Anolis sagrei: one gene and its partners. The protein of the gene in region 3 interacts with the protein of the main gene of each other region in a biochemical or structural test. Links are inferred from orthologs where the notes say so. Each region holds a gene or a part of one and is shown on either strand. Other genes may lie near its edges.

Evidence for each region.
Region 1: of the proteins of MCM2 (region 3) and DBF4, one has a biochemical effect on the other in vitro, tested with the Homo sapiens proteins (3 studies listed by BioGRID). The link is inferred for Anolis sagrei from reciprocal best matches to the Homo sapiens genes MCM2 and DBF4.
Region 2: of the proteins of MCM2 (region 3) and CDC7, one has a biochemical effect on the other in vitro, tested with the Homo sapiens proteins (8 studies listed by BioGRID). The link is inferred for Anolis sagrei from reciprocal best matches to the Homo sapiens genes MCM2 and CDC7.

The regions. Positions count from the first base shown.
Region 1 is NC_090026.1:104,610,383-104,620,593, forward strand, and holds the start of DBF4 (protein DBF4 homolog A), read right to left. Parts: upstream 4,148-10,211; 5' UTR 3,983-4,147; intron 3,780-3,982; 5' UTR 3,721-3,779; coding exon 3,675-3,720; intron 1-3,674. Other genes in the region: mitochondrial glutathione transporter SLC25A40, read left to right, coding at 8,047-8,143, 9,608-9,667. UniProt on the Homo sapiens protein: Regulatory subunit for CDC7 which activates its kinase activity thereby playing a central role in DNA replication and cell proliferation. Required for progression of S phase.
Region 2 is NC_090024.1:150,720,034-150,730,577, forward strand, and holds the start of CDC7 (cell division cycle 7-related protein kinase), read right to left. Parts: upstream 4,898-10,544; 5' UTR 4,789-4,897; intron 2,713-4,788; 5' UTR 2,702-2,712; coding exon 2,617-2,701; intron 1-2,616. UniProt on the Homo sapiens protein: Kinase involved in initiation of DNA replication. Phosphorylates critical substrates that regulate the G1/S phase transition and initiation of DNA replication, such as MCM proteins and CLASPIN.
Region 3 is NC_090022.1:55,026,499-55,036,610, reverse strand, and holds the start of MCM2 (DNA replication licensing factor MCM2), read right to left. Parts: upstream 4,810-10,112; 5' UTR 4,688-4,809; coding exon 4,682-4,687; intron 2,440-4,681; coding exon 2,252-2,439; intron 780-2,251; coding exon 604-779; intron 1-603. UniProt on the Homo sapiens protein: Acts as a component of the MCM2-7 complex (MCM complex) which is the replicative helicase essential for 'once per cell cycle' DNA replication initiation and elongation in eukaryotic cells.

The DNA of each region.
Region 1 (10,211 bases), on a different chromosome or scaffold from region 3:
GAGAAAAGGAAGATAGACAGTTTTTGAACTGTGGTGTTGGAGGAAAATTCTGAGAGTACCTTGGACCGCAAGATCAAAGCAGTCCATACTCCAGGAAATAATGCATGACTTGTTACTGGAGGGAAGGGTATTAGAGGCAAAGATGAAGTACTTTGGCCACATCATGATAAGACAGGAAACTCTTGGAGAAGATAATGATGCTGGGGAAAATGGAAAGAAAAGGGAAGAGGAGCCAACCAAGGGCAAGATGGGTGGATGTTATCCTTGAAGTGGAGCCCCTGGTAGCGCAGTGGATTAAACCCTTATGCCGGCAGGACTGATGACTGACAGGTTGGAAGCTCGAATCTGAAGAGAGCTCAATTGAGCTTCCTCTGTCAGCTCTAGCTCCCCATGTGGGGACATGAGAGAAACCTCCCACAAGGATGATAAAACATCAAAACATTCAGGCGTCCCATGGGCAACGTCCTTGCAGATGGCCAATTCTCTCAAACCAAAAGTGACTTTCTCAAGTCGCTCCTGACACGGGGAAAAAACCCCTTAAAGTGACTGGCTTGACCTTGAAGGAACTGCGGTGGCCAAGGCCGACAGGGAGCTCTGGCGTGGGCTAGTCAACTGAACAAATAAACAACAACAACAAAATCTGCCTTGATATTCTGCATTATATGGCTGTGTGGAAGGGACCCAAGTTTCCCATCAGATGTCTTTAATAGCTGTGGGCCCTTCCACGCAGCCATACAACCCAGAATATCAAGGCAGAAAATCCCACAATATCTGCTTTGAACTGGGGCCCCTTCCACACAGCTGAATAAAATCCCACACTATCTGTTTTGAACTGGGATATATGGCAGTGTGGATTCAGATATCCCAGTTCAAAGCAGATAATGTGGGATTTTATTCAGCTGTGTGGAAGGGGCCCCAGTTCAATCAGCAGGGAAGAACTGGGAGTCCATACTGCCATAGAATCCAGTGGCACAGCTAGTTAGTAGCCAGCTGCATTAAATCACCACTGACCGATAGGTCATGAGTTCAAAGCCAGCCTGGGTCAGAGTAAGCTCCTGACCATTAATAGTCTAGCTTGCTGTCAACCTATGCAGCCCGAAAGACAGTTGTAGCTGTCAAGGAGGAATTTAGGAGGCCAATTTAACTAATTTGCAATGCCATAATATCTTCCAGCAGTGTGCGTAAGAATGAGGACGAACTCCATCAAAGGAACACAAGTGGATGGTGAAGTGGCTAGAATCGAACATACCCTCATGAAGCCAGAAAGCTGGAATGTTAAATTGCCTCTATGTCTGTGTATATATGTAGTCTGGCTAAATGACATTGAATGTTTGCCATGTATATGTGAATTGTAATCTGCCCTGAGTCCCCTGCGGGGTGAAAAGGGCAGAATATAAATATTGGAAATAATAATAATAATAATAATAATGATGATGTGTGGTTTGATACAGAACCAAGAACCTGCTTTAATTGAAATCAATAATCGGAAACTTCTCAAAGCACAGCAGACATAGAGTCAGTACAAGATAACTGCACTCCAAACCAGAGCTGACAGCTGGCACAATAAAGCCTTGGATGGGCAGTTCCTTGAGAAGATTGAAGGAAAAGTTGTCAAGGAGAAGACCTGGTTATGGCTCATGAATGGAACACTGAAGAAGGAGACGGAAGGCCCAATTCTTGCAGCCCAGGAGCAAGCCATCAGAAGCAATGCAATTAAGGCCAGGGTTGGAAAAAAAAAACCAGATTACCCAAAAAGCTGATGAAACCTCAGCTGTTACAAGAAAATCACACAGACTATAAACAAAGACACAACTCTGTGGCCCAGATGATTCACCAGAACTTATGTCACAAGTACCACCTGCCAGCAATAAAGAATTGGTGGGATCATAAACCCGCAAAGGTCATGGAAAATGAACATGCAAAAATACTGTGGGACTTTCAAATCCAGACTGACAAAGTTTTGGAACACAATGCACCAGACATCATGATTGTGGAAAAGAAAAAAGTCTGGATTATTGATGTCGCCATACCAGATGACCGTCGCATTGAGGAAAAACAACAGGAAAACCTCTATCAAGACCTCAAAATCAAACTGCAAAGGCTTTGGCATAATTCAGTACAGGTGGTCCCAGTGGTCATCGGAACACTGAGTGCCGTGCCAAAAGATCTGAGCCAGCATTTGGAAACAATAAACATTGACAAAATCACGATCTGTCAGCTGCAAAAGGCCACCTTACTTGGATCTGTGCACATCATTCGAAAATAAATCACACAGTCCTAGACGCTTGGGAAGTGTTAGACTTGTGATTTTGTGATACGAAATCCAGCATACAGATCTCGTTTGCTGTGACATACTGTGCTTTTGTGTCAGTACGTGCTTCTCCAGTGCCTGTTTTATAGAGACATTCGATCTCATCTCATCTTACCATGTACAATTAAATATCCAGGATGCTCTGGACAATTCTATGTAGATCTGCTGATCTCAGACACAAACTCGGCTGTGACGTACAACATCGCTAAGTTCTGCACGGCTGCAATTAAAATTCGGCGGACGATGATTGAGGGTTAAAAGACCTAAGCTTCTCCTCTGGAATATAGATGAGAAATCAGATATAGTCTGATATTATAGAGTTGGATATTCCCCCACTCCCTGGTGCCATCCCCACTACCTCTCTTTAGACTGCGTTGGATGAACTTGTGGGTTAAGTTAGGTTTTAATAACTATTATTATTATTATTATTAACTTTATTTGTACCCTGCTAGCATCTCCCGAAGGACTCAATGCGGCTTACAAAGGCCAAGGCCTCAAAACACAACATAACAATACAACACCTAAAGCAAATTAAAAACAATTAAAGCAAATATTAAACAACAAGCAATAAACAATACATCAAGACACTATAAAACTGGGCCGGGCCAGAGTAATGGGTACAGGATTAAAAGTGCTGATGTGACAGGTGATATGTAAGGATTATAGGGTAAGTTAAGTGCAGTGTGCAGCAATCTTAGTTCTGGGACTTGTTATTGGAGGTTCCTATTCTGGAAAGGCACATCGGAACAGCCAGGTTTTCAAGTTCTTTCTAAAGACTGCCAATGTAGGGGCCTATCTAAGATCTTTTGGGAGTGTGTTCCAGAGTCGGGGGGCCACCACAGAAAAGGCCCTGTCTCGCGTCCCCACCAAACACGGCTACGACGCTGGCGGGATCACGAGCAGGGCCTCTCCGGATGACTGAAGTGAGCGCGTGGGTTCGTAAACGGAGATACGGTCACGCAGGTAGGATGGTCCCAAACCGTTTAGGGCTTTGTAGGTAAGCACCTGCACCTTAAATTGGGCTCAGAAAATAAACGGCAGCCAGTGGAACTCCTTGAACCTCTCTCTGTAATGAGCCCCAGTTAACATCCTGGCTGCTGCCCGTTGGACCAGTATTGGTTTTTAGTTTCGATTTTAAAATTTGTTGAAGTTTAAAGTGTACAACCCCTTGGGTTTGATGTGAATGTACGGGACTGGGTCCCCATGTTGTGATCTGGTCTTCGACCGTAATAAACTTTACTACTACTTTGTGTCGGTAACATAATAATAGTAATGTGTGGTTTGATACAGCTGTGTGGAAGGGGATATTGAATAGCAGAAAGGAAGGAAGGAAGGAAGGAAGGAAGGCCCCAACCACACTTACAGGGGAACTGTCCTTTGCTGCTGCTTTTCAAACCACTTGGTTTCATTTTTCCTGGGAAGTCACATCTTCTTCTCGGCCCACTTCCCTGCGACGGTTAGTTGCGACCTGAAAGGAAAAGGAAAGAGATTCTCATGAACACACTTGAGAAGGCTTGAATATGGGGGAGAGGATTGAAGAAGAATGAAATACTCAGTGGGGGGAGGCGGGGTGTCCATTTAAAGAACGGGGCAACTTCTCTGCCGCCGCCGCCGCCTCCAAGCCCTGCTGCGCCCCCCCCCCTCAGGCCTCCGCCCCGCCCCGGGCCTTACGTTGCCTTCTCCCCGGGGGCAGCGCCTGGTGTGAGGCGCCCGTTCCAGCCCCGCGCTTCCCGGCGGCGGCGGAGGGGCGGTTGGCGTTTGAAAGCGGCGTCACCTCAGCCTCATGGCGCCGCCGCCGCTGCCGCTGAGGGGATTCTGCTCCGCCGCTCGGCCATTCGGCGCCTCGCCTTTCCCGCCTCGCTCGGGCTGGGCCTACCAGCAGCCTCCGAGGCGGGGCCTGGCGCTCTGGTTGGGCTGAATTCAAGGCCCAGGAGGAGGAGGAGGAGGAGGGCGGCGAGGAAGAGGAGGAGCCTCGCCTCTCAGAGGCCTCCTCGCCCGGCTCCTCTCCCTCTCAGTTGCCCAGGTAACCCTTCTCTTGGCCGCCCCTGAAGTGGAGGAATCCCTCATATCCAAAATGCTCCAGTAATGTTTGGGACTTGGGATACACTTGGGATGTTGGCATGTTTACCTGTATATGAGCATATACAGCAGGCCTTGGCAAACTTGGGCCCTCCCACAATGCCTGGTGTGTATGGTGCCCATGAAAGATTAATTTTATTGATTTATTTACTTTATTTGTATACCGCAGTTTCTCAGCTCATAGGCGACTCAACGCGGTTAACAACAAGAGCAAAAATTCAGTGCTAACAACATAGGTAAAGGTAAAGGTAGTCCCCTGACATTAAGTCCAGTCATGTCTGACTCTGGGGTGTGGTGCTCATCTCCATTTCTAAGCCGTTGTCCGTAGACACCTCCAAGGTCATGTGGCCGGCATGACTGCATGGAGCGCCATTACCTTCCCGCCGGAGCGGTACCTATTGATCTACTTACATTTGCATGTTTTCGAACTGCTAGGTTGGCAGAAGCTAGGGCTGACAGCGGAAGCTCACGCCGCTCCCCGGAATCGAACCTGCGACCTTTCGATCAACAAGCTCAGCAGCTCAGTGCTTTAACCCACTGCGTCACCGGGGGCTCTAACAACATACACTATTTAAAAACAATTAACACCGTAGTATACTAAATGATTAACATCAATAAACAACACATTAACATCTCGTAACTAGAATCGTGATCCAACTCGTCATCCGTAATTCCGTTTTCCTATATTCATTGCACTGCTTCTCCGAACGCCTGTTCAAATAGCCAGGTTTTCAGTTTTCTTCGAAACACCATTAACGAGGGGGCTGATCTAATGTCCATGGGAAGGGCGTTCCACAGCCGAGGGGCCACCACTGAGAAGGCCCTGTCCCTCGTCCCCGCCAAACGTGCCTGTGATGCAGGCGGGATCGAGAGCAGGGCCTCCCCAGAGGATCTTAAAGTCCTGGTGGGTTCATAGGCAGAGATACATAATGAATGTATTGTTTACACTTGGGTTTCATCTCCAAGGTTATATGTAGCATAGATATGCTAATGTGTGTGTGTGTGATGTCTATAAAATATTTATTTATTTATTTACAACTTTTATATTCCGCCCTTCTCACCCCGCAGGGGACTCAGGGCGGATTACAGTGTACACATATATGGCAAACATTCAATGCCAATTTTTGACATACAAACATATACAGACATACACAGAGTAGTAGCAGTAGTAATTTTATTGATTAGCCATTAGGCTATATCACAATAAGAAACAGAACAACAAGGCCTGACAAGACCTGATCACACTCCACGTAGAAAGTTAAAATAAGACACTTATAATAATACAGTAAATACATATGATAAGACATGATAAAACTGATCAAGCTGAGTATATACATCATATTTCATTATCACCCCTACAATTTACCCCAATCAGCCCTACATATGTGGTTCTCAGACGTATTGTTTTGCCTAAGTACAGAGCTGTTTTATATGTTATTTCTGGGTCTTGGCCACACATAAAATATGTTGTTCTGATGTGAGAATCCCAATACATTGTCCGTTTGATATATGGACCAAGGTGGAAGTCTCTCACCTTTTGATACAATTTGCAATCAAAAAATATGTGTGCTATATCCTCAATTTCAGGTGTCCCGCAGATACAACTTCGTTCATTATAAGGGATGCTGTTAAATCTCCTGTATCTAACCATTGTCTCGAGCTGATCAAATCTGGCTCGAGTGATGTTTTGGTATTTGCATTTTTAGGTAGTTAGCAGTTTGAAAGGTACGTTTATATTGACTCAGACATACACAGAGGCTATTTAACTTTTTTTCTGGCCGCCAGGGGAGCTGTCGCTTTCATCGTCCATCTGCGACGCTGATGAAGCACTTCCGCATTCCCTGCATGCTTCCCCGCTGGAATGCTTTGCTGGAGTCTTCTTTATGGCCTCATAAATCAGTTAATTTAGCCTCCCCACACTTTAAGGTGGTACCTAATTTTCCTACTTGACAGATGCAACTGTCTTTCGAGTTGCAAAGGTCGACAACAGGCTACACACAATTGGTTGGAAACCCACTCCAACCCGGGCTGGCTTCGAACTCATGACCTTTTGGTCAGAGTGATCTTAATGCAGCTGACACTCAGCCAGCTGTGCCACAATCCCGGTCTAGTATTTAGACCTGAATGTATAATTAACACTTGAGTTTCATCTCCAAGGTTTTGTATAGCATATATATGGCAATGTATCTATATGTGTGTATGGTGTCTATGAAAGATAGATTTATGTAATATTTAGACCTGAATGTATTGTTTACACTTGAGTTTCATCTCCAAGGATGGATAGATAGATAGATAGATAGATAGATAATATCTATATGGCAATGTATCTGTGTGTGGTGTCTATGAAAGATACATTAATGTAGTATTTAGACCTGGATCTCATTTCAAGGTATCTCACAAGATATATATCTGGCCTGGGCAAACTTGGGCCCTCCAGGTGTTCTGGACTTTCAACACCCACAATGCCTGGTGTGTATGGTGTCTATCAGAGATAAATGAATGTATTGTTTATACTTGGACTTCATCTCTCTCTCTCTCTCTCTCTCTCTCTCTATATATATATATATATCGCTATGTATCTATGTGTAGGTCCCCTGGCGGCACAGTAGGTTAAACCACTGCACTGCTGAACTTGCTAACCGAAAGGTCAGAGGTTCGAATCCGGAGAGCAGGGTGAGCTTCAGCTATTAGGCCCAGTTTCTGCCAACCTAGCAGTTCAAAACATGCAAATTTGAGTAGATCAATAGGTACCACTCTGGCAGGAAGGTAACAGCACTTCATGCAGTCATGCAGGCCACATGAGCTTGGAAGCATCTACGGACAACACTGGCTCTTCAGCTTAGAAATGGAGATGAGCTCCAGGCCCCAAAGTTGGACACGACTAGACTTAATGTCAAGGGCAAACTTTTCACTACAGCCAGGAAATCAGTAGGAGAGCAGTGGCCAATCTCAATAAAATAAAAGGACAGACTGTATTCTCTATCTCTTGATATTATGGGATACGCTTGATTTTTCTTGGGCCGTTTTTATACACAATGAGAATAATCATTAGGTTGAGAAAGTAACTCATATTCAGATGTTTCAGAGAGAACTTTTCCTTTCAAATTCACCTAAATGAGTGATAAACCATTTAGGTGGGGAGTGTACAGACACATATGTGTGTATATTTATTTATTTATTTTCAGTATTTCTATCCCACCCTTCTCAACTCCCGAGGGGGGATTCAGGGCGGCTTACAAATGGCTTATGTGTATGTATACATAGATTCCAAGTTAATCAGCACTTAAGGAGTATTGGCAGATGCCTAATAAATGTAGTTTCTGGTTGTCTGAGAGTTACTGTTAAAATAAACCTAATTAATACTGTACCCCATACTATATCACACCAAAAACTCTGTATTGACTTGTTAATATTGAAGTACCGTAATTGAATGCAAAGAGAGAAACCTAACTAATTTAACACAGCTTCACTGTTCTATAAAAAAGCTTTGTGAATGCAGTATGCAAATTTTGTGAAATGGTAGCCAGTAAACTTTTGCTGGTTGCTTGATAATTTCATTTGCTTGAATTCCAATTAATAGAGTCTACACAAACACACACACACATATATATATATTGATTTTTTTTAATCAGGTTATGCTTCTCAAGGAATAAATTATGGGTTCTGAAGAGAAAGAAGATGGATTATACAGCATTACAACGTCTCAGCAAGCAGTCTGTTCTTGTTGTGGTGCTCTTATTACTTCAGTTTTGGGTAAGAAAAGACAATTGAGGTCACTTAGCACACTGTTAATATGTCAGTGTTATTTTTAACAGGCATATTCTAAAAATGAGATAATGATCCTATTATAGGCATGTCCCACTGGGTTCAGTAGAGCTTTCTCTCCAGCAAATGTGTTTAGGATTGTAACCCAGTAGTCACAAATAGATATTGAGATACTCCTCACTGGAAGGGTAAGATGGCCACGGAAATCTGAAAATATCCCGTGAAGCCAGTGCTAAGACAGCAGCCAAAAAGGGACAAGTAATGGAAGATACAACAACTGGAAGCCACAGTGTCCCTTATTAGGAAAGAAAATACAAACTGGACACCAAATAATACAAACATTGAATTAGCCTGATTTTTTAAACACCAGGAAGTGTGATGAGCAATAATCTGTAGTTTGCAGAGATTTGCAAAATGCCTTTTAATCCATCCCCTGTGGGGATTTTCACTTTGTGCATTGTTAATAATGGTGAATCCTCTTTAAGTCAAATGAAAAATAAAAACCTCTCATGATTCAAGATTAGAAACAAATAGGTTGGAAACTATATTTGTGCCTTACTCCATTTGTATTCTGATTCCTAGCAAATATAATTGTACTTTCATAATAAATCCAAAGCCTATTACATCGAGACTCACGGCATTAGAGAAGGACTTTGTAGGCCATCTCTTCTAATCCCCTACTTAGTATAGGAAATCCTGAATGGAACATACCCAGCAAGCTTAACAACCTTGAGCAAGGGATAGTCTTTCTTCCAAGTCCCATTCTCAAAATATTTGTACAATCAAGAGGCATCTCAGGTTCCACTAACATTTATTCCCCTATACTTAAAGCCCATTCTATCTGGGCACCACAATTTAAGGGAGATGTTGACAAGCTGGAATGTGTCCAGAGGAGTGTGACTAAAATGATCAAGGGTCTGGAGAACAAGCCCTATGAGGAGCAGCTTAAAGAGCTGGGCATGTTTAGCCTGCAGAAGAGAAGGCTGGAAGGAGACATTATGAGGGCCACGTATAAAATATGAGAGGAGAAGTCATAGGGAGGAGGGAGCAAGCTTCTTTTCTGCTGCCCTGGCTCCAAACTACAGGAAAGGAGATTCCACCTGAACATTAGGAATAACTTCCTAACTGTGAGAGCTGTTCAGCAGTGGAACTCTCTGCCCTGGAGTGTGGTGGAGGCTCCTTTTTTGAAGGCTTTTAGACAGAGGCTGGATGGCCATCTGTCAGGGGTGCTTTGAATACCATTTTCCTGCTTTTTGGTAGGAGGTTGGACTGGATGGCCCACGAGGTCTCTTCCAACTCTGTGATTCTATATGATTCTAATTTTACCTTCTGGAGCACAAATGAACACATTATTATGTGTGTTGTTTTTTAAAACTTTTGCTCTTGAAACCATTGACCACATTTAGAGTGTTTAGAATGTTTTCCATTTGATGGTTTGTTTGTTTGCCTTAGTGACACCCCTAGATGTTGTCAAAGTTCGGATGCAAGTCCAGATGAATCCGTCTCTCAAAGGTAAATCTATAGCTCTACATTTGTGGTATGGGAAGGAGGAAGATGCTTGTTCTTCCATGTGTTTTGGTAATATATGTCAGTGTTAGTATGAGGGGAAGGATGGGAGCTTTACTGCACTCGAGTCTATGAGCAGTGAAATGTGATATTGAGTTAATAGCTTTTAAAACCATTAATAGTAACAATTTATCTATGGTGCAGTGGGTTAAACCACTGAGCTGCTGAACTTGCTGACCGAAAGGTTGCCGGTTGAAATCCGGGGAGTGGGGTGAGCTTCTGCTGTTAGCCCCAGCCTCTGCCAACCTAGCAGTTCGAAAACATGCAAATGTGATTAGATCAATAGGTACTGCTCCGGCTGGAAGGTAACGGTGCTCCATGCAGACATGCCAGCCACATAACCTTGGAGGTGTCTACGGACAACGCCGGCTCTTCGACTTAGAAATGGAAATGAGCACCAACCCCGAGAATCAGACACAACTGGACTTAATGTCAGGGATAACCTCTACCTATCTAGTTTTGCATTTGTAATATTGTTAATTTAGAAGGA
Region 2 (10,544 bases), on a different chromosome or scaffold from region 3:
CTGAATTCAGAAACTACACATTTTTTTTCAAGAATTTACTAGTTGCTGTTTTTCATAAACCTATCACTAGATGGCATAGGAAGGATGTTATATTGTATTTTCCTGTAAAAACTCAGACAACATAGGCAAGACGCCTTACTTAGATTGAACAATATTCCCTACTACATTTCTCAAATAGTGTTTTGGCTAAAGAGGTATAGTAACTGTGGGCCTTTAAAGACATAGCCATGTTAATCTGGATCAGAACAGAAAGGGATCTTGTAACATTTTTCTTAAGACTTTTTTTTTTGTCGTGTCAGGAGCGACCTGAGAAACTGCAAGTTGCTTCTGGTGTGAGAGAATTGGCTGTCTGCAAGGATGTTGCCCAGGGGACGCCCGGATGATTTGATGTTTTATCATCCTTGTGGGAGGCTTCTCTCATGTCCCCGCATGGGGAGCTGGAGCTGATAGAGGGAGCTCATCCGCCTCTCTCCGGATTTGAACCTGTGACCTGTCAGTCTTCAGGCCTGCCGGCACAGGGGTTTAACCCACTGCGCCACAGCAGTCTTGAGACTAAATGACAGGGAAAAGATTGTCATGTAAGCTTTTGTAGACAGGGACTACTTACTCAGATGCACAGAATGAAGTGCTTGTTGACAAATATTTGTGCCCATGAAGGGGTAGTGTGTGTCTGTGTCATTACACTCTAACTATTCATAGATAGAAATGTCTATCCATAGACACTTCACTTAGGCCCCTTCCACACAGCTGAATAAAATCCCATATTATCTGCTTTGAACTGGGATACACGGCAGTGTGGACTCAGATATTCCAGTTCAAAGCAGATATTCTGGGGTTTTCTACCTTGATATTCTGGGTTATATGGCTGTGTGGAAGGGCCTTAGAGCATCTGATGAAAAACAATCCTACAAGCTTCTTTCTCTGAATTAGTTTCTAAGATGTTACAACAGTCCTTGTGCTGTTCCACTATCAAGCATGAAGTGTTTCAATGATATCAGGTCCATCCAAACCTGAAGGCAACTGGCCAAAGGAGCACACCAAAGTTTTGCTGGAAAACACTGTGATGACCAAAGCCTTATGTAGGGTAAGAGGCTTTCAAAAATGTGAGAGGTACACTGGACCCTTCACTCCAGAGAGTGGCCTCCATAATAAAAGATGTATTTCCTGCTACTCCTGAGCAAGCTGGACAGAAGTTGAAGTAATAATTAGAGTTGGGCAAGGAGGAGAAATGGTACACCAAAAAGAAAAGGAGAACATTAGGAGATAGCAGCGCATGAGCCAAAATTGTGGCACGTATGTACCAATGACTAGAGAGCACTTTATGCTCTCACAGTGTGAGACCAAGCAGGTGGGGCTAGACCTCTGCTTTGCTAACAGACCCAAATCTTATTTCATGGCAAACATTTTCAAAACTTTGAATAATTTCATTTTTATAATATGATGCCTGGGAATGGGGGACGCTTGACTCAACAGCAGTATGTGTGAAAAAGATCTTGGAGTCCTCATGGACAACAAGTTAAACATTAGCTAACAATGTCACACGGCAGTTAAAAAAAACAATGGGATTTTGGCCTGCATCAACAGGAGTCTAGTGTCTAGATCCAGGGAAGTCATTCTATCCCTCTCTTCTGCCTTGGTCAGACCACACCTGGAATCACACTATGTACAATTCTGAGCACTACAATTTAAGGGAGATGTTGACAAGCTGGAATGTGTCCAGAGGAGGGCGACTAAAATGATCAAGGGTCTGGAGAACAAGCCCTGTGAGAAGCGGCTTAAAGAGCTGGGCATATTTAGCCTACAAAAGAGAAGCCTGAGAGGAGACAATGATGGCCATGTACAAATATGTGAGAGGAAGTCATAAGTTGGAGGGAGCAGGCTGTTTTCTGCTGCCCTGGAGACTAGGGCGTGGAGCAATGACTTCAAATGACACGAAAGGAGATTCCACCTGAACATTAGGAAGAACTTCCTAACTGTTCACCAGTAGCACTCTCTGCCAAAGACGGTGGTGGAGGCTCCTTTTTGGGGGCTTTTAAACAGAGGCTGGATGGCCATCTGTCAGGGGTGTTTTGAATGTGACTTTCTTGGCAGGGGGTTGGACTGGATGGCCCACGAGGTCTCTTCCAAATCTATGTCAGCTGTCTGACATCATAGATCATACACTGTGGGCCTTCCATTGCTCTTCTCCTGCGATCCACTATTATCTGCCTTCCAGATCAGACATACAAGGTGTGCAGGGAGAGGAGAAAATTATCATTTCCAGTAGCAGACAACAAACATTTGTTGCAACTCATTATTTTTTTAAGCTCCAAGGCATTCCCATCAACCCAGAATACAATTAAGAATTTTTAAAAAGCAAATATTTTGATAAACCAAAGTAAGGATTAACTTGTAAATTTGAATCAACCAAGTATTCCAAATGTCCCGCTTTGCTACAAGTTCTTCTATACTAACGCATAAATGAAATCATCAATAAAAAGTACAGTTTGTTTTTAAAGTATCTTATGCCAAAATATGAGTATGGAAGGGTCCCAAGAAAACAGGTGGAGGCCTTATAACAGGAAAGGAAGAATTTACAAGATTTTGGAGGGAGGAAAGATGTGTTAAAGTGTGTACCTGATAGCTTCTTGTTCTGGCTGTATTTCTTACTTGGGTCTTCACTGTGCATGGGAGGATGTTCAATCTGATGAGCTGCCTCCATTGTAATGCTACCTGAAAGCAGCCACAGAAGTTCAGAATCAGGGTCAAATTCTCTTCTGGATTTACATGCAAGTTTTCAAGTCTAAACACACTGAAAGAAATTCGCTCCCTTCTCTCAGCACACTGTATAAAGGTTAGTTAGACAAGGCAGCAAAGTGGTCCATAGACGCGTGCTGATCCTCCAGCCCCTGGAGAGTTTCCAAGCAAGAAAAGACAAGAAAAGGAATCCCAGGTTGCAGGGGAGCGTTTGCACAATTAAAACTTGTGCGCCAGCTGCGCCTGTACCTTGGGAAGTCAGACTTGGCCACGGTGGTCCATGCTCTTGTTACGTCTAGAATAGACTACTGCAACACACTCTATGTGGGGTTGCCTTTGAAGACTGCTCGGAAGCTTCAAATAGTTCAACAAGAGGCAGCCAGGTTAATAACTGGGGCGGCATACAGGGAGCATACAACTCCCATGTTACGCCAACTTCACTGGCTGCCAGTTTGCTACCGGGCACAATTCAAAGTGCTGGCTTTGGCCTATAAAGCCCTAAACGGCCCTGGCCCAAATTACCTGTCCGAACGGATCTCCCCCTATGAACCATCACGGAGATTAAGATCCTCCGGGGAGGCCCTGCTTTTCGTCCCACCATTGTCACAGGCGCGATTGGTGGGGGCGAGAGACAGGGCCTTCTTGGTGATTGCTCCCCGGCTATGGAACTCCCTTCCTGGTGAGATCAGGTCGGCCCCCTCCCTCCTGTCCTTTAGAAGGATGGTAAAAACTTGGCTGTGGGACCAAGCTTTCGGGACAGGGCAATGAAGCGGCAATGGGAAAGATGACAGGGCCAATTGGATTTGATGCGGATAGCTAGGACGGTTTTAAATGGTGTTATTTTAAATAGTGTGTTTTAATATTTCGATAAATGTTTTTTAATGTTTATGTATTGTATCCAGGCCCTGAAAATTTGCCGTGTATATGCTGTGCTCTGCTCTGAGTCTCCTTCGGGGTGAGAAGGGCGGAATATAAATGTTTTAAATAAATAAATAAATAACTGTGGTCAATAGACACACAAATATGGTGTGAGGCTCTGTCGCTCTTGGGAGGGGGACTGGGCTTCAATAGAATGCAAGGCACAACAGGCACTGGCAAACTCTGGCTCTCCAGATGTTTTGGACTCCAACTCCCACAATTCCTAACAGCCTCAGGCCCCTTCCTTTCCTCCCATAAGCGGCTGAGGGGGAAAAGGAAAAGGTCTGAAGCTGTTAGGAATTGTGGGAGGTGGAGTCCAAAATACCTGGAAGGCCGAAGTTTGCCCATGCCTGATCTATAATGTAGAATTAAATTGAACTCCCATGTCTCAATGCTACCCAGTTCTGGGATTTGTAGTTTGGTGATGAAGCACTAGCACTCTTTGGCAGAGAAGATGTAGGTCTTTGTAAACTACAACTCCCTGATATATAATGTAGAATTAATAGTTTGGCACCACTTGAACACCCATATCTCAATGCTACCCAATTCTGGGATTTGTAGTTTGGTGATGAAGCACTAGCACTCTTTGGCAGAGAAGATTAGTCTTTGTAAACGACAACTCCCACAATTCCTTAGCACTGAGTCATAGTGGCGTCAGTAATGTCAAAATGGCTTAACTCTTCCCAAACGGGGCCTGGTGCCTTTAAGGCTTTGATTCCTAGAGCTATGAAGGACTGAGCCTTAAAACAAAGTGGGCCAAAAGTCAAAAAGGCCTTCGATGTTGTAACAACTTTCTCAAAAGTTGCTATATATACTCTGTATCGGGCATGTGCAAACTTCAGCCCTCCAGGTGTTTTGGACTTCAACTCTCACAATTCTTAACAGCCTACCGGCTGTTAGGAATTGTGGGAGTTGAAGTCCAAAACACCTGGAGGGCTGAAGTTTGCCCATGGCTGCTCGTTATGGTGCTAAATAGTATGGAACACTGAAAACAGAGGCCTCTGCTCAAGCGAGGAAGGGGAGGAGAGGCCCAGCAAAGTGCTTCTCGGGTCTCCACACCCCGCCACTCCGAGGGAGAGTTGTCCTGTCTTCTTCCCCCATCGTTCCTCTTCTTTGCTCGGCTTTTTTACTCACTTGATCGCCCGCTTCCTCACTCGGTGGCTTCCCTTTCTTTCAAACAACGGCGCCTCTCCGGCTGACTCTCCGCCTCCTTTGGCGCCAAAAAACCGCGCTGTCCGTCGCAACGGCGCCCCCTGTCGGCCGCGGAGGGAGGAGTCCGCCTTGTCAGCCGGCCAAAGACAAGCAAGGCCTCTTTCTCTCTCAGCCTCCTCCTCCTCCCTCCCACGCTCCAAATAAGGCCCTTCTACAAGGAAGTTTGTGAAGGAACTGCTTTCTGGGCTATAGAGACTTCACCCCAATGAGCATGTCAAGTCTTTAGAAGTGTAGATTACCATACAGCTCCGTTTTGAAACTAAAGGGATGATTTTTCCCATCTCCATCCCATTGCACAGTAGCAAATTATCTGTTTCTTTCAGGAGTTCTCAGTCTATTTGCCGTTCAACCCACTGTCCCTCCCCTGTTTTCTTTGTGAGAAACAACAACAAAACTTGCCATACATCAAGGGAACCACTGACCGCATAGGGAAACTGATGAGGAAACACAACATACAAACCACTTACAGACCCACCAAGAAAATCCAACAAATGCTACGTTCAGCAAAGGACAAGAGGGATCCTCTTACCTCTGCAGGAGTCTACCGTGTACCATGCAGCTGTGGACAAGTCTACATAGGGACCACCAAACGCAGCATTGCCCAAACACGAATCAAGGAACATGAAAGACACTGCAGACTACTTCAGCCAGAGAAGTCAGCCATAGCAGAGCACCTGATGAACCAACCTGGACACAGCATATTATTTGAGAACACAGAAATGCTGGACCACTCCAACAACCATCATGTCAGACTACACAGAGAAGCCATTGAAATCCACAAGCATGTGGACAATTTCAACAGAAAGGAGGAAACCATGAAGATGAATAAAATCTGGCTACCAGTATTACAAAACTCAAAAATTACAACAGCAAAACAACAGAGGGGAAACAAACAGGCACATAAAATCACTCTCAACAAGAGATTCCCCCCAGGCGCTTCCAGGCCATTGAATGCAAATCAAGGTGATCAGCTGAAACATTCACAGCTTGCCCCAGCAGACAGGGGTCCTTTGTCTCACCCTGGTCATTCCACAGATATATAAACCCATTTTCCTACTTCCAACAGACCTCACTACCTCTGAGGATGTTGCCATAGATGCAGGCGAAACGTCAGGAGAAAAATTGCCTCCAGAACATGGCCATATAGCCCGGAAAAACCTACAACAACCCAACAAAACTTTATTTATATACCGCTCTATCTCCCCAAGGGGACTCAGAGCGGTTTCCAAGTAACATAATCAATACATACAAAGAAAACAGTATAAACATAAAATTATGCCAAGACAATATGAGCCTTAAAAAACCACAATAGCACATATATTTAAAATAATTCTGCCTGTTCAAGGCAGTTTAAAAAGCCAGGCCAGGCTAGTGCGATTTTAGTGGGCCGAGGAAATTAGGTAGAGTCTATGGCTGTACATTTCCAGGGCCTAATAGAAGAAAGTGACCTGGGTAATTGGTAGAAAAAGATATGGCCACTTTCAACAGTGTCTGGGGCAGAGCTAGAACTAGTCGTTCTCAAAGGTTTGTTTAAACCACCAGGTCTTCAGGCTCTTACAAAAGGAGGGGGCAACGGGGCCTGTCTTATTTCTCCAGGAAGAGGGTTCCAGAGGCAGGGGGCCACCACTGAGAAGGCCCTCTCTCTCATCCCCACCAACCATGCTTGTGACAGTGGTGGGAGCGAATCGAGGGCCTCCCTGGAAGATCTTAAAGTTTGCATTGGTTCTAAGGCCCGTCGCAAACTCTGTTCCTGGGGAGAAAACCTTGCTAGCATGTCCCTGACGTCACGAGACTCCGCCTCTCTCCCCACCCCTTTCTCCGCCCCTTTCTCTTTGCCAGCGTGGTTTTTCCTTTGCTAGGGCAGCATTGCCCGCATTTTCTCTCAGTTGGCAGAATTCAACTGAGAGAAAATGCGGGCAATGCTGCCCTAGCAAAGGAAAAACCACGCTGGCAAAGAGAAAGGGGCGGAGAAAGGGGCGGGGAGAGAGGCTCAGGCTCATGACGTCAGGGACTTGCTAGCAAGGTTTTCTCCCGCAGGAACCTAGTTTGCGACGGCTCATAGAGGGAGATGCGATCACGAAGATAGGTGGGGCCCGAATTGTTTAGGGCTTTATAGGTCATAACCTGCACCTTGAATTTGGCTCGGCAACTTATTGGCAGTCAGTGAAGCTGTTTTAAAAGGGGCGTAGTATGCTCCCTATAGTTTGCTCCAGTAAGGAGCCTGGCTGCCACCCGTTGTACCAGTTAGAGTTTCCGGGCCATCTTCAAGGGCAGCCCCACATAGAGCGCATTGCAATAGTCCAATCTGAAACACCTCTAGAACATGGCCACACACCCCAAAAAATCTACCACAACCCAAGAAACATCTTTCCTGGACTATTATTTTTGTTCCTGGGTTATCAATGTCATTTCCTAATTGGTTCTATCATAAACACATGGGAAAAGTTTGTTAAACTGCAAAAACTTTTATTTTGCAGGAGGGACATCTTGCTAGAGCGGTGTTTCTCAACCTGGGGGTTGGGACCCCAGGGGTGGGGGTCGTGAGAGGGTGTCAAAGGGGTTGTCAAAGACCATCAGAAAATGCAGTATATTCTGTTGGTGATGGGTGTTCTGTGTTGGAAGTTTGGCCCAATTCTATCGTTGGTGGGATTTAGAATGCTCTTCGATTGTAGGCCTTGACATTTGGGAGTTGTAGTTGCTGGAATTTATAGTTCACCTACAATAAAAGAGCACTTTGAACCCAGTCCACAATGGATCTGCACCAAACTTGGCACACTACCTACATGGCCAACATTGAATACTGGTGGGGTTGGGGTTTGGGGGCTGTTTCTGAATTCTGGGAGTTGTCGGTCACCAATATCAAAAACGAATAGAAGGGCAGGTGGAGAGATCTTTAGCCTTCTCTGCCAAAAGGGTTTCTGAGACCATCAGAAATATGTATTTTCTAATGGTCTTTGGTGACCCCTCTGAAACCCCACTCATGACCCCCCCCCCCAAGGGGTCCTGACCCCCAGGTTGAGAAACGTTGTAGAGTTTCCACCCATTTAACATAGGCCCCTTCCACACAGCTGAATAAAATCCCACATCATCTGTTTTTGTGCAGGTACAACTGTACCAGGAGCTCCAATTCTGTTTGCTTTTGCATTAAATGTTTGTTTGCAATCCCAGGCTTGGGATTTTGCAGCAGGGTGCCTTCCTGTTATAGTTTGCAATCATAGGGCAAGCCACCTGTCAATTATCGTTAGGTTCCCTGGTCCCACCCCTTTTTGAGTTTTGGAGGGAATAGGAGCCTTTTTGAGTCAGTCCACACAGAGCAGCTTTCCATGCAGGACATAACTCCAAGAGCTCCTGTAGAAAGCTTCGTCTTCTACGGCTTGGCCGGGGAGATATATAGCCTACAGCTTGGCCGGGGAGAAAAGGCCCCACAGCTTGGCTGAGGATTTTACAGCCTTACAGCTCCTTTGCGGAGGGACTTCAGCCAGCCATCACAGCAACCTGAACTCCTTCTTTTCCCCTGGAAGTCTACAAAGCTCTGCTTGGTAAGGGTCGCTCACGGAAGCCAGACGCAGTTGGTACCGGGTGCAGGGGCTACACGCCAACAGAGGCAAGTACAAACTGCCCAGATTAGAAGTTAAGGATTTCCCCATTAGTTAATTACAGTTAAGAAGATAGTGCCTGTTCCCAGTGAACAAGATTGCAAGAGCCAATAGACTGTTAAGAAAGCTTTAAAGTACCTGTTTGTTTCCATCAATAAAGAACTTTGTTGGATTTACTTTAAGCAATCTAAAGACTCTGTTTGGGGGGATCTAAGGGCCTTTGATCTGAGGCAGCCCCAGCATCCCGTTGGGCACACAGAATGTATGTCCTGTCTACAATCTAATGCACAGGCCCACCGTGCGACAACACAGTTTTGAACTGGAATATATGGCAGTGTGGACTCAGATAACTCAGTTCAAAGCAGACCTTGTTGGATTTTATGGCTTGATATTCTGGGTTATGTGGCTGTGTGGAAGGGCCCAGAGTTTGGGTGCACAAAAACAAAGTTTCTGGAGAGCAACAACTACTTTCAAAGTAAGGACTACACAATTAAATAAGTAACACAGAGTAGGAACAACTTTTCTTTATTATTATTTTATTGTTGTTGTTATTATTATTATTATTCAGAGGCAGGATGGCCATCTGTCTGGGGTGCTTTAGCTACATCGCAGAAATAAGGGGGTTGGACTAGATGGCCCTTGGAGTCAACCAAAGGAGGGGGGAAGGAGGTGGTGTCTGGGGGCACTCCCTTCCTTCAGTGTTGGAAGAAGGAAGAAGGGAAAGAAGAAGAGGTCACACATGGCATACACAAGGCAGAAAAGGAAGGAAGGAAGGAAGGAAGAAGGAAGGCAAGCAGGCACCCAGAAAGTGCACCAGACAGAAAGGAACACAACATACTGCTGATCTTCCCTCCTCCATGAGCAAAAGGTAACGGTGGAGATTTTCCTCAAAGGGGAATATTGGAAGGGGCCTCATATTAACCAGTTCAAATTTGATAATCTGGGATCATATCCTGGGATACAGGATAGTGTAGATTCAGAAATAGGTCCCTTTTACACTGCCATATAAAATCCAGATTATCTGCTTTTAACTGGATTATAAGGCAGTGCAAACTCTTATTATCCAGTTCAAAGCAGATAATGTGGATAATGCTTTGATAATCTGGATTACTGTGCATGGCAGTGTAGAAGGGACCTGATTCAACAAAGTAAATTATGTGTCACTTTGCATTTACCATAGGTTTTGAGGCATGGTGATCAAAGGACAATTAGATTATACAATAATATGTTGTATTTAATATGCTGTATTTAATTATTCAGAATATTCATAATGCGTATCTTTTCTTTGTTGCAAATGTCTACTAGGTTACTTTGCATGACGTTTTATGAAAGAAAAGGGGATATATGGTAAATTATATGAAGTCAGTATTTGAATCTATTCCACTTTTTAGAATTTCTCTGCTCAATGCGGCTTAGTAAATAAAAGCGAAAATGTAATAATATTCCACGTTAGTCAAACAATAAATAGCAAACAACAACATTGAGGCCCCTTCCACGCAGCTGAATAAAATGTTATATGGCAGTGTGGACTCAGACAACCCAGTTCAAAGCAGATATTGTGGGACTTTCTGTCTTGATATTCAGGGTTATATGGCTGTGTGGAAAGGCCCTAAGTAACCTTAGATTAACTGGAACAGATAAAACCATTTAAAACACCCCAAAGTAGACTGGAATAAAAACATATAATTCATTCAGTGTTCCCTTAAATAGCCAAATGTTGCTTATAGCTACATACCCTTATGTTCAGTCATTCAGGTCATGACTTGAATAAAGTGTTCTTCTGAATTTCTAAAAATATGATATTGAAGACATTAAATCAGGTATAAAGAATTGTTACAATAGCTATGTGAATAATTGCTATGTGACAGCCTCCTGTTCCTTGCGCTCCTTGTCAACCCAACAATTTAAATAATAAGAATAATGGTGGGAAGATTCAGGGATATGCACACATGCAAATTCGGACCCCGATCTGATAAGGCTAAAAAAGGTTGAAGTGTTAGGCCAAAACTAATACACTGAATTTCAAAAGTGATAAATGTGAGGTATACATCTAAGCATGAAAAATGAAATCCACAAATATAG
Region 3 (10,112 bases):
GGAATTATCTGTGTGTGCTAAATAGAAGAATTTTCTGTTGGGGAGAACTCCCAAAAATACAGCAGAGCATCCAAAATACAAAAACAGGACACTTATGGTTGAGCATTCAGCTCACAGCAAGCTGGTAAAGAATTTAGAGTTTAGGAAGCAAACATGCAGAGTTCCATCTTTAAAATTACAAAAGGTTTATTTACAAAAATAATAACTATATATTATTCTTAATAATAAAGAACTGGGCCTGAGCTACTCGAAATCCATCTCTCTAGGATTCAAAAGAGGAAAAAAATCTCTAAGCACATATCGCTCCTAACACAAGCCGAGAGAGATCTCAAAACACACTAAGTTGTAAAAATAGAAGATCAAAGACAAAAGGCATGCTCCTGCAAAGTATCCATTCTACATAAGCAATCCAAGTGAGAACAGTAACAGAGAGAAGAGAACAAACAGATACATTCAAGCTGTCATACAGGAGACCGGGTGTGGGGTGGAGTTCCCTCAGTTGATTCTAATCTAACGAATCCTCACTGAGGACTGCAGACTTGGGCAGTGTGGGGATGAATTCCAATACTAAATGATTATGCACCAGAAAGATTGCAAACATACCATATAGCAGACCAGTCCTCATGCGGCCCAAGCCATGGCCCAGTTCGCGGTCCCTCTGCCTCATGGCCCGCTCTGCTGCCTCCCTTTGACTGGCCGTCAGTTCCTCCACGTCTTCATCATCCTGGGCCAGCCCTTCCGGTGAATAGACATCCAGCTCTGGAATAGGCCGGTAATCCCTAGACACCACACAGAGAGCTCAGACTATGCTGTGCTTTAGCGATGACATTACATTTGCTTTAAGGCTCTGGCCCCAACAGCTCAATGACTGCACGGCATAGTGTGAGTGAATATGAAAACATCACTTATTTTACAGAAACACTGCCATCCTCTCATTCCAAACCCATGAGATGTTCACACGTGAGATCTTATCTTTCATAAGAATTTCGGGCATGAACTGTGCAGTTGCAATTGTACAGTCTCAGCCTGCACTTCATAGATGACATCTGCATTTGCCTCACGTCAAGTCATGACATAAACGACTGATTCCAATGGACACTCATTGATCAATCTCGATGAGTGCTCATGTGTATGTTGAAAAGGTCTTTAAGAATAACTGTATATACCAGATCCTTGGGACATGTGCATAGATAATTATTATAAGTGGTGCAGCATTCTACAAGTACCACTGACATTTCTTTTACATAAAAGCATCAATTTATGTGGTGCACCGCAATATTCAAAACCATACCCTAATAAAAACATCTTATACCAGAATGGAAAGATACTGGGTACCGTAAAGCATGGGTGCAATCAAAAGACTTTAAAAGAAGAAGATAGCTTTCTGAGACTGTATCTACACTGCCATATCATGCAGTTTGAAATTGCACTGTATGGTTAGTGTAGACCAGGCATAGACAAACTTTGGCCCTTCATGTGTTTTGGACTCCAACTCCCAGTTTGTGGTAGTTGAGGTCCAAAACACTTGGAGGACTGAAGTTTGCCCGTGCCTGGAGGGCCAAAGTCTGCCCATGCCTGATGTAGACTCATATAATTAACATCTGGGAACATCAGTATCATGATGCTCATCTTGCAAATCAGTTTGGAAACAACTTTCAATATATATTGAAATGTGGATCTGTAGTCAGGACGCTTGGGCATAACATTGCTACAGCTGGGTGAGAGGAGGCAACCGTAAAAAATACTGAGCAGAAGGACTGCCTCTTAAGTAGAGCAATCTTTCACCCACAGAGGCCAATCAGATGGCTATGAGAAGCTGATAAACAGGCTTCGAAGGCCACAGTCAACACTCAACCAAGTTCTTGAGCTATCTCACATCAGAGCTAATATACATCATCACAACTTCAAACCATTTCTAGCAACTGTTATCTATCTCTGTTTTATGCCGTTTCTTTCTTGAGCAAAAATTATTATTAAAAACGTCTGGAATACAATGGTACTGCCAATTCTTAGGTTTACTTCCAACAATAAATTCTGATGGAATAAGGTTCAGCTTCCATAATACCTGACCATTTAAAACAAACCTTATTTAATTTAGAAATAAAGGAACATAACCAGAGACAGAACGTTTGCCTCTTCAAAACACATGCTTTCACAGATGTCCAATTTCCAGCCATATCAAGCATCACCCTCATTCTGCCCCCAAAGAAGAGGCCCCAGCAAGGACCCAAAGACTGTGCAAGCCCTCTACCTTTCCATCCCATCTCCAATGAGGTCTTCTCCATCTTCTTCATCTTCATCTGGGAGCCCCTCAGTCCCAAGGAGTCCTTCCGATTCGTCTGCAAAGGGAGGCAGGTCTCTCCCAGGGCTGGAAGTGAGGGCGTCTCCTCGACGAGAGCTAGCCTGGGGGCTGGTAACCACGTTCGACTCGGAAGAATCCTAAAGGAAGTTGTAAAGCTACCATCAGTGAGGAATGTCTTAACTTTTACCAACTATTCCTTGCATTTCCTTGCTTTTCTCCATCACTTACTTTTTAATATATCATGGGTAGTCAGCCTCTCCCGGGACTGTAAGAGGGTTTTGTGAGACCAATCACCCTCATTGCCACATGTTTTTGAGGAAATTATGTAGTAATGGTGGGGAGCATATTTTCGTTCTTGCAGACCACTGGTGATCCACAGACCACAGTTTGGGAACCACTGCTAGAGCTTAAAGAGCCGTCAGAATATGCATCCTATTCGAAACCCTGTGGCTGCCTCCTGCAGAATTTTGGGGCTTGTAATTTAGAGAGGGGCCTTTCAGATGCTGAGCCAAAGAGGACCTGGGCCTCACTAAACTACAAACCCCAGAATTCTGCAGGAGGCAGCCACGGGGTTTCAAATGGGATGCATATAATTTGCCTACTCTTTAAGCTCAAAGACATGGCGTCTTAGTATAGGTCAAGCAACCCTTATCCAGAATCCCCAAATAGCCCAGAATATAAAACTGTCCACATGTGTGGCTAACATTGTGATGCCTTTGCTTTCTGGTGGTTCAATGTACACAAGCTTTGCTTCATGCACAGAATAATTTTGAAACGTTTGTGCATAAAATTACCTTCAGGATATACATATATAAATAAATTTTATATTTGTTTATTTATTTATGTCCTATATTTATATACCACCTTGCTCAGCCTGGGGGGGGGGGCAAGGCGGTTTACAACTTATAGTGGTAAAAATTCAGTGCCAACATACATGTAAAAAGAAAAATCATAATAACTAAGCACTAATATATAATTATAAATAAAAATCACTAAAACCATTAAACATGAGACATTAAGATTTAAACATTAAAACAAAACATTAAAATATCTCAATATAAATATTAAAATCACATGATCCAAATATTAACATTTGGGTCCCATCTCCAAGATTTGGGTCCCATCTCCAAAATATTTTATTATATACAGCATATGCAAATAGAGCTACTCTAAAATCCAAAATAACTAATAATAGCTGTATTCCCAAACACCCCTGGACCCTAGCATTTCAAATAAGGGATACCCAACCTATGGCACTATATAACAAAATTTGAAAAATAATTCTGTTCCTGGCTTGAAAGTGTTATTTCTTGTTTAATTGTGCAGCACTTACTTTGAAAGTAGTTGTTATACCCCAGAAACTTCATTTTTGTGGCTACCACAAACTATGTTGAATTGATTAGGGACATTGTGAGATATTCATTGAAAAGCTATAGCAAAATGTGCTGAGGGGGTCCCGCAAAAACAAAGTTTTTGCAGTTTAATAAACGTTTCTCATGTTTTTATGATTGAACCAATTAGAAAATGCCATTTATAACCCAGGAACAAAAATAATGTTATGTAGTGTAGTTCAGGCATGGATAAATCTGGGCCTTCCAGGTGTTTTGGACTTCAACTCCCACCATTCCTAACAGCCTCAGGCCCTTTCCTTTTACCCCTCAGCTGCATAAGTGGCTGAGGAGTAAAAGGGAAGGGCCTGGGGCTGTTAAGAATGGTGGGAGTTGAAGTCCAAAACACCTGGAAGGCCCAGATTTACCCAAGCCTGGTGTAGTATGCTGTAGTTTATGAAAGTTTATGTTGCAAAATGACTTTCCACCTGGACTAGAGAACAGAAGGAAACGCACAAACCCTGGTAGGGCTTGCTTCCATGTAGCTGTGCACAAAACTACAGCCTAGGGTGCATCTACATTGTAGAATTTATGCAGTTTGACACCACTTTCACTCTCATGGCTGAATGCTATGGAATCCTGGGAACTGTCTTTAGCCTGCTTTGCCAGACACTGCAAATGCCTAACTAAACTACAACTCTCAAGATTCCACAGCGTTGAACCATGGCAATTAAAGCGGTGTCAAACTGCAGTAATCCTACTGTGTAGAAGCACCCTAGCGTGTAGTTTTGCCCTGCACCTTGCTGTCTTTGAACAGGAGCCCAGATATTCACACCCACAACCCCTCTCCCTTTCAAACTCTAGAAAGTACAAAACATTCAAATGCTCAATAGATTTCTCCCAAAAATCCTTCCAAAAAAAAGCTTCTAGCAAAGGAAAAGCAGGAGAGGAAAAAGTTCCATGGTTTGGACAAAACCTTTAAATGTAATGCTAAGTAAGAAAAGTTAAGCTTAAGGATTTTCCTCTATAAAAAAGTCCAGTCCCAACTCACCGCCATTATTTCGATAAAGGTTCACAAATCCGCAGAGCTTTCCTCTGTGCTTGCTTGGCTCCTCCAAGTGCACTCCCAGGGCCAGGCTGAATTCCGCGGGAAAGACGGTCACATGGTGCAAAAGCCCGCGAAAGCTCATGAATAATGAATAAGAGAGCTCCTCCTGAATATGCAAATGTCGCGCTTCCTCTTCCGGAGCGCATGGAACCAAACAGCGCCCCTGCTGTAAACAGTGATCAGCAGGGCGCTAAGGAAAGGCCGCTTCCATACAGCCCTGTATCTCAGAATATCAAAGCAGGAAATCCCACATTATCTAAATGTGGACTCAGATAAGCCAGTTCAAAGCAGACATTGTGGGATTTTCTGCCTTTATATTCTGGGATATAGGGCTGTGTAGAAGAGCCCTGAGTCCACACTGCCATATATTCCAGTTCAAAGCAAATAATGTGGGATTTTATTCAGCTGTGTGGAAGGGACCAAAGACAGATGGTATTTAGGATGCAAAATTATCAGTGCATCAACACTGCAAAATTACTCCAGTTTACTTCAAACACTGCATCTTAAGGCTATGGAATCATGTGATTTGTAGTTTTACAAGGTCTTTGCTCCTCTCTGCCCAAAAGGGCTGGATTTTCACCAAACTGCAAATCCCAGGACTCCATACTATTGAGCCATGGCAGTTCAAGTGGCATCAAACTGCGTTAATCCAACTGTATAGATGCACTCTTGGTGTCCTATTTATTTTTCTCTTTCGCCCTCCATTCGTACCTCTTCAAATTCTACAGCACTGCTGGTCACAGCTGACCTCCACCTGGAGCGCTCAGGGGCCAGGGCTTCCCACTCTGCCTTTCACTCTAATTGTTATGAAATAAATTGATTTATTGTGCTATTTCATCTTTCTAAAAATATACTGACTTTTATGAAATGCCCTGGTGTTCATGACATGAAGGATGGTGTAGAAATGTCTTAAATAGGCAATCTAATACTAAATGACCATGGAACAACAGACTGGTTCAAGATTGAGAAAGGCGTACGGCAGGCTGGTATACTGTCACACAACGTATTCAACTTGTATGCAGAACACATCATGCGATGTGCGGGGCTTCAGGAATGCAAGGCTAGGATGAAAATTGCTGGAAGAAACATTAACAACCTTAGATATGCAGATGACAGCACTTTGATGGCCGAAAGCGAGGAGAAGCTGAGGATCCTTCTAATCAAGGTGAAAGAAGAAAGCGCAAACGCTGGGTTGCAGTTAAACATTTTAAAAAACCAAGATTATGGCAACAAGAATGACTGACAACTGGGAAATAGAAGGAGAAAACATTGAGGCAGTGACAGACTTTGTATTTCGAGGTGCAAAGATTACTGCAGACACAGACTGCAGCCAGGAAATCAGGAAACGCTTACTTCTTGGGAGGAGAGCAATATTCAATCTTGATAAAATAGTAAAGAGTAGAGACATCAGACTGGCAACAAAGATCCGCATAGTTAAAGGAATGATATTCCCCATAGTAACCTACGGATGTGAGAGCTGGACCATAGGGAAGGCTGAGTGAAGGAAGATAGATGCTTTTGAACTGTGGTGTTGGAGGAAAGTTCTGAGAGTGCCTTGGACTGCGAGAAGATCCAACCAGTCCATACTTTAGGAAATAAAGCCTGACTGCTTATAGGAGGGAAGGATAGTAGAGGCAAAGCTAGTGGTCTTTGCTTCTTCCAGCACGCTGACGTTTGTCCGCCTGTCTTCCCAAGAGATTTGCAGGATTTTCCGGAGAAAATGGTCCTCCGCCATCAACTCCGCTGGACTGGTCACGTTGTCCGGATGCCTGACCACCGTCTCCCAAAGCAGTTGCTCTACTCTGAACTCAAGAACGGAAAACTGAATGTTAGTGGACAGGAAAAGAGATTTAAAGACGGGCTCAAAGCCAACCTTAAAAACTCTGGCATAGACACTGAGAATTGGGAAGCCCTGGCCCTTGAGCGCTCCAGCTGGAGATCAGCTGTGACCAGCAGTGCTGCAGAATTTGAAGAGGCATGAATGGAGGGCAAAAGGGAGAAGCATGCCAAGAGGAAGGCGCGTCAAGCCAACCCCGACTGAGACCGCCTTCCACCTGGAAACCAATGCCCTCACTGCAGAAGAAGATGCAGAGCAAGAATAGGGCTCCACAGCCACATACGGATCCACAAGAATACTGGAAGACAATCCTCCTCGGAAAATGAGGGATCGCCTAAGTAAGTAAGTAAGTAAGTAGAGGCAAAGATGAAGTACTTTGGCCACATCATGAGAAGACAGGAAAGCTTAGAGAAGACAATTATGTTGCGGAAAATGTAAGGAAAAAGGAAGAGGGGCCAACCAAGGGCAAGATGGATGGATGGTATCCTTGAAGTGACTGGATTGACCTTGAAGGAGCTGAGGGTGGTGGCAGCCAACAGGGAGCTCTGGCATGGACTAGTCCATGAAGTCACAAATAATCAGAAGCGACTGAACGAATGAACAACAAAAAATACTAAATGTAATAACTTCCTTGTAAACACAGTTACTGTAACTAAAGTGGTTAAAGACTCCAGAGAATGGATGATTGATTGATTGATTGAAAACATTTATCTTCCACCCTTCTCACCCCGAAGGGGACTCAGAGCGGAGTACAGCATATATACGGCAAACATTCAATGCCGGGACAAGAATTCATATACGCATACATAAACATTTAAAACATTTAACTCAATATTAAAATACACTGTTCAAAACCGTCTTGGTCATCTGTGTCAAATCTACTTGGTCTGGTAATCTTTCCTATTGCTGCTTTATTGCCCTGTCCCGAAAGCTTGGTTCCACAGCCAAGTTTTTACAATCCTTCTCACCATCAACCCCATACACTCTACAAGTGACTTAAATTACAACTTCCTTCATCCCCAGCTATTCTAATTGGGGATTTATTTATTTGTTGTGTCAGGGCAGCCAGTCAATTATATTACATTTCTAACAGAACAAAGCAAACAAACAGACAAAATACAAAAAAATTGTAAGTTTGGTGGTTGATTAAATGTCCTTTGACCAGTATCTGGCCACTTGGAGTGCTTCTGGTGTTGCCGCAAGAAGGTCCTCCATGGTGCATGTGGCAGGGCTCAGGGTGCAATTCAGCAGGAGGTCAGTGGTTTGCTCCTTTCCACACTCGCATGTCGAGGATTCCACTTTGTAGCCCCATTTCTTGAGGTTGGCTCTGCATCTTGTGGTGCCAGAGCGCAGTCTGTTCAGTGCCTTCCAATTCGCCCAGTCTTCTGTGTGCCCAGGGGGAGTCTCTCATTTGGTATCAGCCATTGGTTGAGGTTCTGGGTTTGAGCCTGCCACTTTTGGACTCTCGCTTGCTGAGGTGTTCCAGCAAGTGTCTCTGTAGATCTTAAAAAACTATTTCTAGATTTAATTGGGGATGATGTAAGTGTATCTTAACTGTTCAGTAACAGGCTCATAGCATTGGGAATGGTCATTCTGCCAACCTTGTTAGTGATCAAACAATGCTGTATAAAATCCACTGGAATTATATGGCAGTGTGGACTTAGATAATCCAAAGCAGATAATGTGGATGATCTGCCTTGATATTCTGATTATATGGCTGTGTGGAAGGGCCCTAGGAGGCTGTGGTTTCAGAAAAATATAGAATTTGATATTGGGGGCCCTTGCACACTGCCCTATATTCCAGAATATCAAGACAGAAAATCCCACATTATCTGGGTGTGGACTCTGATAACCCAGTTCAAAGCAGATATTGTGGGACTTCCTGCTTTGATATTCTGGGATATAGGGCTGTCTGGAAAGGCCTGGGATAAAAGCAGGTTTTGCGTTTCTACTTCTTGTTGCCCCAATGAATGAGCTGCTCCTTTAAGGCCGCGCTCTTTCTCCCCTTCAAACCCCGCCTCTCCTTTTTCCCCATTGGCTCATTTCCTCCTTCCTTTCGCTTTTGAGCCAGGCTGCTTCTACGTAGCTGTCTCCGGATTGGCTTTCGGCTCTAGGGACCGGGGCTCAATTTTCCTACCAAGAAAGAACCGTAAAACCGTGATGGTGTTTTTTCCCTTCTTCTCCCAAGACACCTGAGAGGAGGAGGACTCAGGTAATCGCCAACTCGAGAGGAAGAGGCAGCAAGTGTGCTTCGGCTCCGGAAACGGGTGGAACTTGAACGACGCCCCCTTATAAGGACAGCCCCCTTTTTATTATTTTATCTTTTTGGCGACTCGGGCTCGAACCTGGGAGGCTGCGGGGTGGCCGGCCCGGATCCCCGGGAATGAAGCAGGCGCTGCCTCCGTAGCGTTGGAAGGAAGCGGCGGAGAGAGAGAAAGAGAGCAAGCCTTTCCTGCTGCTGGGGCCCCAGGACGGTAGGAAGCCCCTATCCCTCAATACACCCCATTCCCACGCGTGACCCCCCTGGGCGCATCCCTTCCCCGGGTTTCTGCGTTGGGGGCCATGAAAGGGCGCCACTCTCCTTCCTCCAGCCAATCTCTCCCTCCCCAAAAGGCTGCCCCACTTTCGTGGATCTGGCCGCTGGCCTCTCCATTCTCCAAAGGGATCTCTGCGTGTGTTGTCTTCTGCGTAAACAACCCTCTTGCCCCACGATTGCTCTTGCCCCCTCCCCCTGCTGGGGGTGCGCCTACACTGCAGAGTTGATGCGGGTTGACACCACTTTCTAATGCTGGGGGGTCCTGTTTTTTGCGAGGAGGCATAAGAGCTTGTGAAACTACAACTCCCACAATCCCAATGCAGTGGCACACTGAGCTTTGTCGTGTAGGGAGGCACCCGCACTCTTTGGCAGAGAAAGCTAAGGACCCTGTGAAACTACGTCTCCCACAATGATATAGCATTCGGTCATGCAGTGGTTCTCAACCTGGGGTCCCCAGATGTTTTTGGCCTACAACTCCCAGAAATCCCAGCTAGTTTACCAGCTGTTAGGATTTCTGGGAGTTGAAGGCCAAAAACATCTGGGGACCCCAGGTTGAGAACTAGTGGGTTATGGCATTCAAAGTGGTGCCAAACTGAAACTACAACTCCCACAATCCCAATGCAATGGCACATTGGGCTTTGTAGTTGGCAGAGAAGGCTAAGGACCCTGAGAAACTACATTTCCCACAATGATATAACATTCAGCTATGGCATTCAAAGTGGTGCCAAACTGAAACTACAATTCCCACGATCCCAATGCAATAGCACATTGGGCTTTGTCCTTTGGGGAGGAACCAGCACTCTTTTGCAGAGAAAGCTAAGGACCCTGTGAAACTACATCTCCCACAATGATATAGCATTCTGTTATGGTATTCAAAGTGGTGCCAAACTGAAACTACAACTCCCACAATCCCAAAGCACATTGGGCTTTGTAGTTGGCAGAGAAGGCTAAGGACCCCGAGAAACTACATTTCCCACAATGATATAGCATTCTGTTATGGC